Linked DNA regions of Arabidopsis thaliana. The protein of the gene in region 1 purifies or fractionates together with the protein of each later gene. This does not show direct contact. Each region holds a gene or a part of one and is shown in the gene's direction. Other genes may lie near its edges.

The links.
Region 2: the proteins of AT1G61700 (region 1) and PKR2 fractionate together in Arabidopsis thaliana (co-fractionation; one large-scale study listed by BioGRID). This does not show direct contact.

What each region holds. Positions count from the first base shown.
Region 1 is NC_003070.9:22,785,285-22,789,183, forward strand, and holds AT1G61700 (RNA polymerases N / 8 kDa subunit), read left to right. Parts: upstream 1-1,727; 5' UTR 1,728-1,820; coding exon 1,821-1,856; intron 1,857-1,976; coding exon 1,977-2,035; intron 2,036-2,616; coding exon 2,617-2,711; intron 2,712-2,802; coding exon 2,803-2,828; 3' UTR 2,829-3,096; downstream 3,097-3,899. Other genes in the region: AT1G61690 (phosphoinositide binding protein), read right to left, coding at 1-773, 861-1,029, 1,385-1,498; AT1G61710 (Cysteine/Histidine-rich C1 domain family protein), read right to left, coding at 3,575-3,899.
Region 2 is NC_003075.7:15,429,573-15,437,765, forward strand, and holds the start of PKR2 (chromatin remodeling factor), read left to right. Parts: upstream 1-1,955; coding exon 1,956-2,075; intron 2,076-2,141; coding exon 2,142-2,299; intron 2,300-2,311; coding exon of another isoform or gene 2,312-2,381; intron 2,382-2,421; coding exon 2,422-2,595; intron 2,596-2,804; coding exon 2,805-3,019; intron 3,020-3,100; coding exon 3,101-3,196; intron 3,197-3,291; coding exon 3,292-3,428; intron 3,429-3,509; coding exon 3,510-3,668; intron 3,669-3,763; coding exon 3,764-3,871; intron 3,872-4,028; coding exon 4,029-4,079; intron 4,080-4,184; coding exon 4,185-4,272; intron 4,273-4,373; coding exon 4,374-4,519; intron 4,520-4,629; coding exon 4,630-4,727; intron 4,728-4,816; coding exon 4,817-4,955; intron 4,956-5,184; coding exon 5,185-5,354; intron 5,355-5,523; coding exon 5,524-5,590; intron 5,591-5,685; coding exon 5,686-5,799; intron 5,800-5,897; coding exon 5,898-6,007; intron 6,008-6,129; coding exon 6,130-6,211; intron 6,212-6,455; coding exon 6,456-6,650; and 14 more. UniProt on the Arabidopsis thaliana protein: Chromatin remodeling factor that represses the expression of embryonic trait genes upon and after seed germination and thus enables the developmental switch to post-germinative growth.

The sequences.
Region 1 (3,899 bases):
TTCTTTGTCATCATCCATACTATTAATAAGTGCAGATAGCTCATCATCTGATCCATCAGCTCCACCCAAAAGTTCCTGCTCTTCCAGTTCCCTTTCCAAAATTTTAGCCTTTTTCAGTTCATCTTTAGCTTCCGCAAGCTTCCCTTCACGTTTCAGCGTAAGGGCTTTTCTCTTAAGGGCAATTACCTGACTCTTGTCAATACCCCCAGTCTTCTGAGGATTAGCACTTCGCGGAATTTCACGGAGAAGAGACGAAAATTCGCCCTCCAAACTTATAGTTGCTGGTTTCTTATCTTCATCGTCAGACCACCCAAGCTCCCTCAGGTCAGCTGCCAAATCATCATTTCCTTTACCCCCTTGACGTAGAGGCTTTTGTGATTTGCTAGATTCTTTGGTAGCAGCCTTGTTCTGCGTCTCAGCAACATTTCGCATAGACAGTTCCCTTTTCCGGTTCCTTCTTAAAGATATCTCTAATGCGTCGGCCTCTCTCTCAAGTTCCCTCCCTCTCTTAAATGCTTTTAGAGCTTCATCAGATTTCCCTTCTCCTTTAAGAATTCTGTACTTATTCTTCGCTTCTACTGCTTGTTTACGCAATTCTTCAGGACTAGCATCCAACTCCATACCTTTATTACTACTGCTACTTGCCATTTCTTTAGAAGCATTCCTGTCTGTGCTAGACACAGATTCAGATGAAGAAGATACATCAACATCAGAGCCTAGAATCTCACTGAGAACATCATCCTCATTCTTTACAGTCCTTTTCGAGCTACCTCCTGAACAAATTCACAATCTCTTTACATCAAAAACTAGCAGATAACACAAAAGTGTCATAAATAAGATCACTATAGGTACATAAATACCTTTAGCAGCTCTATTTTTGTAACCATGACGCAACTCAAACCGTGCAGCTTCTTCAATTTTCTTACATGGTTCACATATACGCACAGGTGAGTCACCTTGTCCACGTAGTGACAACCTTTGCTGAGTGCAGGTTCCACAGAACAATCCCCCACATCTCCGGCAATGATGCTGCTCGCTCAAAAAAACAAAGCCAACAGAAACTAAGAAAAATTAAGCAAATTCAAAGGTTTTTGGGAGACATAGAAGAATCCAGCAAGTCACAAGTCTAGTAATACACAAACCACAAAACATCCAGATTCACCAAATTTACTCAAAAATATGGAATCTATCAAATAGGCACATCACCAGAAACCGATCATTCAGTGAAGTTTTCCGATAAACAGATTCTGAATTAGATCTCGAAGAAGAATCGACTAAGACGAAACTAAATTTCGATCGAAGAAACTAAGAATCTAAAGATCGCGATAGCAATAAGCAAGTACCAATTGATAGAGAGAGTAAGGAAATTAAGAGAGAGGAAGACCTTGCGATTGATGAAAGTGAATTGAGAAGAACATCCTTGACAATGAGAAGCATCAACGACCCAACTATTTCCTCTTAGAGATGGCTTCGGCGGTAATCCGATCTTCTCCAACATTTTCCCGTCTGATTCTTCTTCTCCTCCGCCGCGAAACGAACTTGGTTTTGATTTTGATCTTACCGGAAATGTAAAAGATCGAGCAGATGAAGAAGAAGAAGAAGAAGAATACTTTTCCTCCTCTATTGTCAGATATAAAATAAATAATTTTAACTAATACGGTATCGTTTTAGCTAAAACACATAATAGGACTCAATATATAAAGCAATAATAATTAGACATGAAACTAATTTTTGCTTTGAGACGAGAACGAAGTTAGAAAGAGACAAGCCCTAAAGATCGCTTTGAGACGATAAACTCTTAAAGTTTCGATTCGTTCACGATGATCGTCCCTGTTCGTTGTTTTACTTGTGGAAAGGTTTGTTTTTTCTTCTCTCTTTTTGTACGATTTCGATTTGTTATATATATATGTGTGTGACAAATCTCTAGGGTTTGTAGTATTGAGATTTATGAAGCTTTTGTTTATGATTTTTTGTAGGTGATTGGGAACAAATGGGACACATACCTTGAACTTCTCCAGGCTGATTACGCTGAAGGGTAAGCGATATATAGTTTATGATTAGAAAAAGAATCATAATTTGTGAGAAATTTTTTTGGTGAACATGAGAGTGATTGAATCTTGGAATTTTGAACGTTTTCTGACATTTTCTTAGTTGAAATGAGAGTCATGTAAAAGATGAAACAATAGTGGAACATGACAATAGAATGATTTGATGGTTTTGTGTAGTCAAAGAGATTGCATGATCTTGTCTTGTATGATCATCTTGAAAGTTTATACATGTTTTAGCCTTGTTACTAAAAGCATGAAGTTAGATCATTGGGATTTTTCGATTTTCTTGTTTTAATCGCTAGTGTAATCTTTAGCCCGTTTGGTTCTAGGTGTTAAGCTACATGATTTGGAATTGCGCAATTTCGTTTTTGTTTTAGTTGCAATTTGATCATCTTGAAGTTCATAGATGTTATCTTAAGTGTTAGTAAAGAGCATGATGGTAGGTGATCACTGATATATTCCATTCTCTTGTTTCTATCTAATCTTTTAGCTACTTTGGTTTTAGGCATTATGCTAAAATTGCATTTTGTTGAACTGAAAATCTGAATTTTGGTTTTGGAATACGCAGGGATGCTCTTGACGCGCTTGGATTAGTCCGTTACTGCTGCAGGCGTATGCTTATGACTCATGTCGATCTAATCGAAAAGCTTCTAAACTACAACAGTAATATCTCCATACCCGGTTCTTTTGCCTTGTGTTGCCTCTGCTCTATTCTTTTTGTTAACTTGCTTATTCGAATACTTCTCTTTTGCAGCTATGGAGAAATCCGACCCCAATTAAAAAAAGATGCTATAATGAATAACAAATCATCAAGAGCTGAAGTGAAGGAGTGATGCATCTCATCCATGTGGGCGTCTTAATAAAACCACAATGTTTCAGAAATTTTGGTTTAATTTATAACTAGGAATGTTGATATTTCAATGTTTTCTGATGTTCTTGTTCGGTTTTAGAAATCTAGACAATTTTTCGAGCCAAAAATAAAGCTCAAGCCTGTAGAGTCATCATCTATTGATTTGTTTTTGGTAATCTAATCCTGATAAATAGTAAAGATCACACATTTGATAAGGTTCAAATCTACAATCTAGATCACGAGTAGGAAGCAGCTCTTTTTGTACGATATCAAATTGGTAATGAGAACAGAGCACATAAAAACAATTTGAATGGAGCTCCCATTTTATAACCGGAGAATATCAAAGTTTTTTAGTTACAAGTGGTTGTATTAATTCAAGGAAACCATTTAACAAAAGAAATATAAATATTTATATTAAATATACACTATAATTAGTTGAATATATATTTATTTTGGATCAAATGTTTATTAAGATATATTTTTATTATAAAAATTTATTCTGAAATATGTTTATTGAACAATATACTGAACTTAACAAACCAAGGAGACTTTTTTTATTTTATTTTTTTTCAAACACAAACCAAGGAGACAAATATGAAGAAAACAAATTACATTTGAATAGAGAGGTAGAGCTATATAACTCACTGAATGCTTGGAAATATTGTCTATTAGTCTATTACAGATTAAGATTTTCTAAAAGAATTTGAGCCCGCTGAACCCAGAATTTGAGAGTTTGGCTTAGACTCAAATTCGAGTTTTTACCTAGTACGCATTCAATATGGAAAATGGTGCAGCACTCAACGCACCAATAGAACACTTTTGTGTTTGTGTCTCTTAAATTACGTTCACATACTTCGCACCAATCTTTTTCACGGACCTCTTCTTCCCATATAGCTGTGAGAAAGTGTTTGTCATGTTCATACCTTGCTCTATAGGGTAATGTAGCACACTTCATACAAACAATAAAATCACATTTGATGCAATTTAATTGATTATGACGT
Region 2 (8,193 bases), on another chromosome or scaffold:
TGCTACTACTATTGGGGCTTTGTTTATGATTCTTTTTCTATAACACACAATATATTTCATTTTAAGAAAAAAGAATTTCTAGAAGAAGTTTATAGCTCTAAAAATGGTCCAACAAAACCACCGAGAAACCAAAATTTAAATCAATGTTTAGGCTCTTCTACAATTGATTTCAGTAATTTTCTAAAGAGTAAGAACCCCTTTGGATACGTTTCTGTATTATTTATTTTTCGTAAGGTTTGGTTATTTTAGGATGGCTCTACAAAAAAAATACAATAAACATCTAAAATAACTTGTATCAATTAAAAATAAATATATGCAAATTTCATGCTGCACAGTGGACATCCAGTGGAAGTATTCGAGAATGATTTAACTGTGTTGTGTTGTTTGGTCAGATCGCTGCTAATTGCTATTCTCAAGTCTCAACCTTCTTTTACTGGTACGCACTCAAAGCCCATTATCACCGAAAACATTTCGGTGGATATTTTAATAATTCTCTAATTGATAAGCGTGATTTTATGTCAACTTACAAGGCTTTTCAAAGCCCAAAAAGGGCCACAGGCCCAAGCATAAAGAGAAACATTCACACCATATCTATTTTAAAGATTAATAAAAATGAACAAAACTGATTTTAATTGTAAAATAACAAAAATTTGCTTTCATTGAGAGTTGAACTCAAGACCTCCCGCTTACTAAACGGGTGCTCTAACCAACTGAGCTATGAAAGCTTTTGCTGTTACAATTAATTAAAATCTATATAATACTTTGTAACAAAACTTTTTTTAAGTGTTAGTTAATTTAAAAAGCGTTAATCAATTGAAATGTGGACCTCTTAAAAAAACTAACAAATACAAAAATGCACCATTTGTCCATAGAGTATTGGAAACTAAGTAAACCATCTTCATACTATTGGTCACAACCAAATCCCTTTCCAATTTGTAACGGACGACTAATTTTGGTTTTGTGGTCAAGACTCAAGATAATGCTAATTTTTAAACAAAATTACAGTGCATGAATCTAATCTTTATTTCCTTCTTCTTTTATAACCTTTTTCATACTTACCATTTGCATGCCTCTCTTTAATATTTGTTTTATTCTATAGAAACAAATCACATTATATTGCATTGAATAGATTTTTATTTAAGTTTCATTTATTTGTTTTCAGACACATATCTTTAGATACTAAAGATATAACTAAATATTTAAATCTTATTTCTGGTCAACCCATTCAGACAAAGAATCTTAAATAAAAAAAACTTTAAATTAATTTCTTCCCTAAATATGATATATATTTTTTAATTATGTTACATAAATGTATATATACAATATAAATTTATAGTTTTTTTTTGGTAAGCATATAAATTTATAGTTTGACCAGTGTCAAGGAAACTTAATAAATCAAACAACTTTTTATACTAATAAAATAAAATAACTTTTTGTTTTAATGATATTTAAATATTTAATTATTCAATATATGGTTATTTTGATAATTTTATTTTAAATCATCATCGAATTTCTTGTTGAAATTTCAAAATTGCCGCGTAATCTTAACGGTTTTAGGTACAATTTCATTCACAAAAACCACTAGGACTCACTTCTAAAAATTTCTCACAGCCACAACTACATCTGCATCCCCTTCTGGTTACAAATTAATTCACCTTTACATTGAAATTGACAAAAAAAGGTAGTGTTATCTCCATAAAACAAAATTAAAAGGAAATAAAGAATAATGACCACTCCCTCTCTATATATATAAACAGACGTTTATCATATCCTTAAGAATCACCCCTCTTGCGTTTTAGCTCCCTTGCATTTTCTTCATCTTGTACGCTCCTCCTTGGTCTTAGATTTTCTGAGATATTTCTCTTTTCACTCTTTCTTGTTACGATTTTATCTAAAAATTTAATGAATCATATTTACTGACCAAACACATTGTTGTGGTTTTTTCATGCAGAGAAATGGCTAATCTGTTGCAAAGGCTTCGTAGACGAACCGGGCCAAAGCCAGATTATATTGAAGACAAGTTGGATGAATACATTCGTGAAGAACAAGTTGAAGAAACAGGCGGAAGTAACCAGGTATGTCTTTGTCTTGTTGTGAAATTATAGATCTGCAGTGACTTTTAATTATTTGATCCATTTCAGGATTGTCCTCTTGGCGAGATTGAAAAGATTTTGGACCGTGAATGGCGTCCTACTGCATCTAACAATCCGAATTCTTCTGACAACGGGACACCAACCCTAGTTGTCGTGAAACAATATCTTGTGAAGTGGAAGGGGTTATCGTACTTGCACTGCTCTTGGTAAATTCCCAGCAATATGCGATATCGTGTTGTATTTAATTAAACATGTCGATTATTATGTTTTTGTTGCTTCTCTTGTCTGGTTATCTTATCATCACTTGATTATTAATGTCAATTCTTAGGGTGCCCGAGCAGGAGTTCGAGAAGGCTTACAAGTCCCATCCTCATTTAAAACTAAAATTAAGGGTGACCAGGTTTAACGCTGCTATGGACGTATTCATCGCTGAGAACGGAGCTCATGAGTTTATCGCCATTCGTCCTGAATGGAAAACTGTTGACCGGATTATTGCTTGCCGGTTAAGTGATTCAAGTCTTGTCCTTTGTTTTTATGTCCTTAACTTGATAGACCTCGTTGTGACAATTATGTTTTTTTTTTTTTTTTTTTCCTTTGTGATTATTTATTCATGCGTTTATATTTCTTTCTCTATCTTCTGTGTAGAAAAGTGTGACACTTAATGGATTTCGTTTTGACAATTATGGTTTTTTTGTTTGTGATATGATGTAGGGAAGGAGATGATGGGGAGGAGTATCTGGTGAAGTACAAAGAACTTTCTTACAGAAATAGTTACTGGGAATCTGAATCTGACATCTCAGATTTCCAGAATGAAATCCAAAGGTTTAAGGATATAAACTCTAGCTCTCGTAGAGATAAATATGTCGAAAATGAGAGAAATCGAGAGGAATTCAAACAGTTTGATCTTACTCCTGAATTTCTTACAGGTATTTTATTAGACTACTTGAACAATTTGTATACAGTTTCTGTATAATGTTATTGATTTACTTACCTTATATGTTTTTAAGGCACATTGCATACATACCAGCTCGAAGGGCTGAATTTCCTAAGGTATTCATGGTCCAAGAAAACCAATGTAATCCTTGCGGATGAAATGGGACTAGGTACGTCTTCAAAAATCCATTTCTTTTTTGGGGTTATTCATAGGCTTTGCTTTTATCATTTGTGTAAAATAAGATTGGTTTTGTGGTTGCTGCAGGCAAAACTATTCAGAGCATTGCCTTCTTGGCCTCTTTGTTCGAGGAAAACTTATCTCCTCATCTAGTTGTTGCTCCTCTCTCAACCATCCGTAACTGGGAGAGGGAATTTGCCACCTGGGCACCACATATGAATGTGGTATGTATCATGTTTCGTATATATATGTCACATATACGGTATTAGTTATTTATTAATGTTTTCATCGTATGATATATGCAGGTTATGTACACTGGGGATTCGGAAGCACGTGATGTTATATGGGAACATGAGTTCTACTTCTCTGAAGGGCGTAAAAGTAAGTTTGATGTCTTGCTCACGACGTATGAGATGGTTCACCCAGGGATATCAGTTCTGAGTCCAATCAAGTGGACGTGCATGGTATTTCTGTATTAATTATCTGAATGATACTATATACTTTGTATGTCTTTCTTTTAGATCTCATATTTTGCTTAGAATATCATTCTCTTGGTTAGATTATTGATGAAGGCCATCGGTTGAAAAATCAGAAGTCAAAGCTGTACTCTTCATTGAGTCAGTTTACAAGTAAGCATATCGTTCTGTTGACCGGAACACCACTTCAGGTTCGTCGTTAGTCGATTTTTGGTTCTTCGACTTTCCCAAGGTTCATTCAATCCTACATTAAAGTTTACCTAATTAGTTATGATCTCTGAAATAGTACTATAATTATTATGGTATCAATTCTTTTGTATCACTAATACTTATTTGGTGTTTTTTCAGAACAACTTGAATGAACTTTTCGCTCTGATGCATTTTCTTGATGCGGACAAGGTTAGCCAAAAGATAACGCATATAAAATAAGTTTAGTTTATTCTCTAAAATAGTCATTATAAGCATACAAGCTTGCTTTAATTATTTTATTTTCCATGCTTGCAGTTTGGGAGTTTGGAGAAGTTTCAAGATATAAATAAAGAGGAGCAGATTTCAAGACTCCACCAAATGTTGGCTCCGCATCTGCTCAGAAGTATTAACCAACAAATCTTATTAAGAACATTTCGTTTGAAGTCTCGCACCAAGGGATAACTATAACCATGGTGATTAATCTTGCTTTTATTGTTATTGCAGGGTTAAAGAAAGACGTGCTCAAGGATAAGGTGCCCCCAAAGAAGGAGCTCATTTTGCGTGTTGATATGAGCAGCCAGCAAAAAGAAGTGTACAAAGCTGTTATTACCAATAATTATCAAGTCTTGACAAAGAAACGAGATGCTAAAGTAAGTTTTGTGGATCTCTTGTGCTTATGCAGATGTATATATATTGTCTTGGTTTAGGAACCTTTTAGACTGTACTTGGTAGGATAATTCGGCTGGTTAAACTGTTTCAGATATCTAACGTGCTAATGAAATTACGCCAAGTTTGCTCTCATCCGTATCTGTTACCAGACTTTGAGCCAAGATTTGAAGACGCAAATGAAGCTTTTACGTAACATTTGATCACTAATCTTGACGTATTGATTCCTTTTTAGTATTTTGTGCTGACTTTTGCTTGACCTTTTCTGAATTGTTCTAAAGAAAACTATTGGAAGCTTCCGGAAAGTTGCAACTGTTAGACAAAATGATGGTCAAACTCAAAGAGCAGGGGCACAGAGTGCTAATCTATACCCAATTCCAACACACCCTTTACCTTTTGGAAGACTACTTCACTTTCAAGGTAACCTAATCTGCTATATCTGTTTGTCGACCTATTGATTTGTTCAGTTGGTGTTGTCGCTCTGCAAATGACTTGCGATATAATCTTTTCCTTCCACTTAAAAGTTACTTTTTAATATATCTTGAGACGCAAGGAACAGTAACTTTCTTTTTATAATTTGCTTATATGCAATTAAGGAAAAACTATTGTATGATATTGAGCCGTAACAAATTTATTTTTATTTTGTCAGAATTGGAATTATGAACGGATTGATGGAAAGATCAGTGGACCTGAGAGGCAAGTAAGAATAGATCGGTTTAATGCAGAAAACTCGAACCGGTTCTGTTTTTTGCTCAGTACAAGAGCTGGTGGAATAGGGATAAACCTTGCAACAGCTGATACAGTCATCATTTATGACAGGTTTGAGTTCCAATATCTGTTTAATGAAATGATAAAGTGCTTGTTGGAAGTTTCTTTCCAGAATAACAGAGTGTTTGGATCTTCTAAGTTAATAGCGGAAAGATATTGTAGAGGCATTTAAGATGGTTGTGATGAATTTATTGACATGATTTTTTCACTGGTGTTGTAGTGATTGGAATCCTCATGCTGATCTCCAGGCTATGGCTAGAGTTCATCGGCTTGGCCAAACAAATAAGGTTCTCTTTTCATGGCGTCAATGTGGAATCATCCACTTGCTATTTCATTCTTTTTCTAGCTATGTCACTGATTAAGCCTATATTTTCTTATTTAGGTAATGATCTACAGACTGATTCACAAAGGTACTGTAGAAGAACGGATGATGGAGATAACCAAGAACAAGATGCTTCTAGAGCATCTCGTCGTGGGAAAACAACATCTTTGTCAGGTATATATATATATATGTATTCCTTGTTCGATTTGTTATTGATTCTTATTGCTACAAGGTTTAATTAATTACTGTTTTCTATCCCTGACTGTAATTAGGACGAGTTAGATGACATCATCAAATATGGTTCCAAGGAACTTTTCTCTGAAGAGAATGATGAAGCAGGGAGGTCTGGAAAAATCCATTACGATGATGCTGCTATCGAACAGTAATATATTCTTCTTTCTTTCTTTGTTTTTACTTTCCTAGTGATTTTACTTTAATAGTTCAAAGCCACCATACAATTGCATGGAATGTTCATGATTTGTAGCCACACCTTTTCTTCTGCAGGTTGCTAGATCGTAATCATGTAGATGCTGTGGAGGTCTCACTGGATGATGAGGAGGAAACTGATTTTTTAAAGAATTTCAAGGTTTACTTCTTTCTCTTTCTCTTTCTAGATGAGTGGTTATTGATCAGATGATCCAATATTTGTTAAGGTCCAGAGAATTGTTTAGAGAGTAATAATTCAATGGATATGCTACAAGAATCATCATGTGCATGTGCATGCATATATATACACCCTTTTTTCCTGCAATATTAAGTTATACACATATATTTAGTGGCATTAATTCCAAATATAATTTCTCTTTTTGATGTTATTTCCTGTATATTAGGTGGCTAGTTTTGAGTATGTAGATGATGAAAATGAGGCTGCAGCATTAGAGGAGGCACAAGCTATAGAAAACAATTCTTCAGTAAGAAATGCTGATAGAACAAGTCACTGGAAAGATTTGCTGAAAGACAAATATGAAGTGCAACAAGCTGAGGAGCTCAGTGCTCTTGGAAAGAGGAAGAGAAACGGCAAGCAGGTACGTATACTCTTCTTGATCCCACCTCTCCAGAATCGTTTTATGTCCTTTAGCACAAGTGTTCTTATTCCTGCTTTTGTTAATATTACTAGGTGATGTATGCTGAAGATGATCTTGATGGTTTAGAAGAAATCTCTGATGAGGAGGACGAATATTGTCTTGATGATTTAAAAGTGACCTCTGATGAGGAGGAGGAAGCAGATGAACCCGAAGCAGCTCGACAGAGAAAGCCGAGGACGGTTACAAGGCCTTACAGAAAAAGGGCTCGCGGTACTATACTTTTCCAAATATTGCATTGAAGATGACATCTTGTTGGTTTCAGAGGTTTACAAGTTAAGTAACTTTGAAAATCTATTTTGCTGTAAGATAATTCGGAGGAAATACCTTTGATGGAAGGCGAAGGGAGATATCTCATGGTGCTGGGATTTAACGAGACTGAGAGGGATATATTTTTACGTACGTTTAAGAGGTATATCTTCTTTCTAATAATGTTGTCTAAATTGTGGTTTGGCGTCTCTCAAAGCATCATAGTATATCATAAGTGTCTCAAAACAACTTTTGTAGGTATGGAGCTGGAAACTTTGATTGGAAGGAGTTTGTTAATCCCTTATACATGAAGACCTATGACGAGATAAATAAGTATTGACGACTTAAAGCCATTTATGCTCTTATTTTCAGCTGCTTTACAAAAACCAACAGTTGTTCATTGACACTTGTTAAATTTGTTGTTTCTCAGGTATGGAATCTTATTTTTGAAACACATTGCCGAAAACCCTACCGATAATTCTACAAATTTTAAAGGTAATTTATCACTTTATTGATTATATGTTTGTTGGTATTCTTAGATATATCCAATTGCTTATTTCTGTTATCATATTTTTAAGTTATTACGGCAATGGTCTATGCAGATGGAGTTCCCAAAGAAGGGATAAGCAGTGACGAGCTACTAGTGAGCATGACTTTTATGATGCTAGTAAAGGAGAAGGTAAGCCTACCATTTTCCAGTGTCTATGGAATTTAAACAGTTACTTATTAGCACTAGTAACCGAACCAAAACTTGAGAAGATTCATTGCATTCTTTCTTAAAGTTTTTGCATGTGGTTTATATATCTGAAAGTTTCTCGTTTGATAAAATTTGGTTTGGTCCTCTCTTGTTTGTTTGAGCTCACTTCTCAATGTTTGATGTGACAGTGTCAATTTTTGGACAACCATCCGACAGCACCTGTTTTCTCTAACTACGTCATCAGTAAGTACAATTTGAGAAATGGAGCATTTTCTAAGGAAGAACATGATAGGATACTGATTCCTGCTGTTTCCAAGTAAGAACCCTTCAACGATTATCCTTACTTGATTTTGTTTCTCTTTGTTTGTTTGCTCACATGCATGTTGCTTCCATTCTTGAAACTTTGTAAAAATATAGGCATGGCTATGGTAGATGGGTGGCCATCGTTGAAGACGAAGAGATAGGGTTCCAAGAGGTTGCCTGCAAAGACCTGAATATCCCTTTCCCTCCTGATACTAAATCTGCTCGTAAAAGAATTTG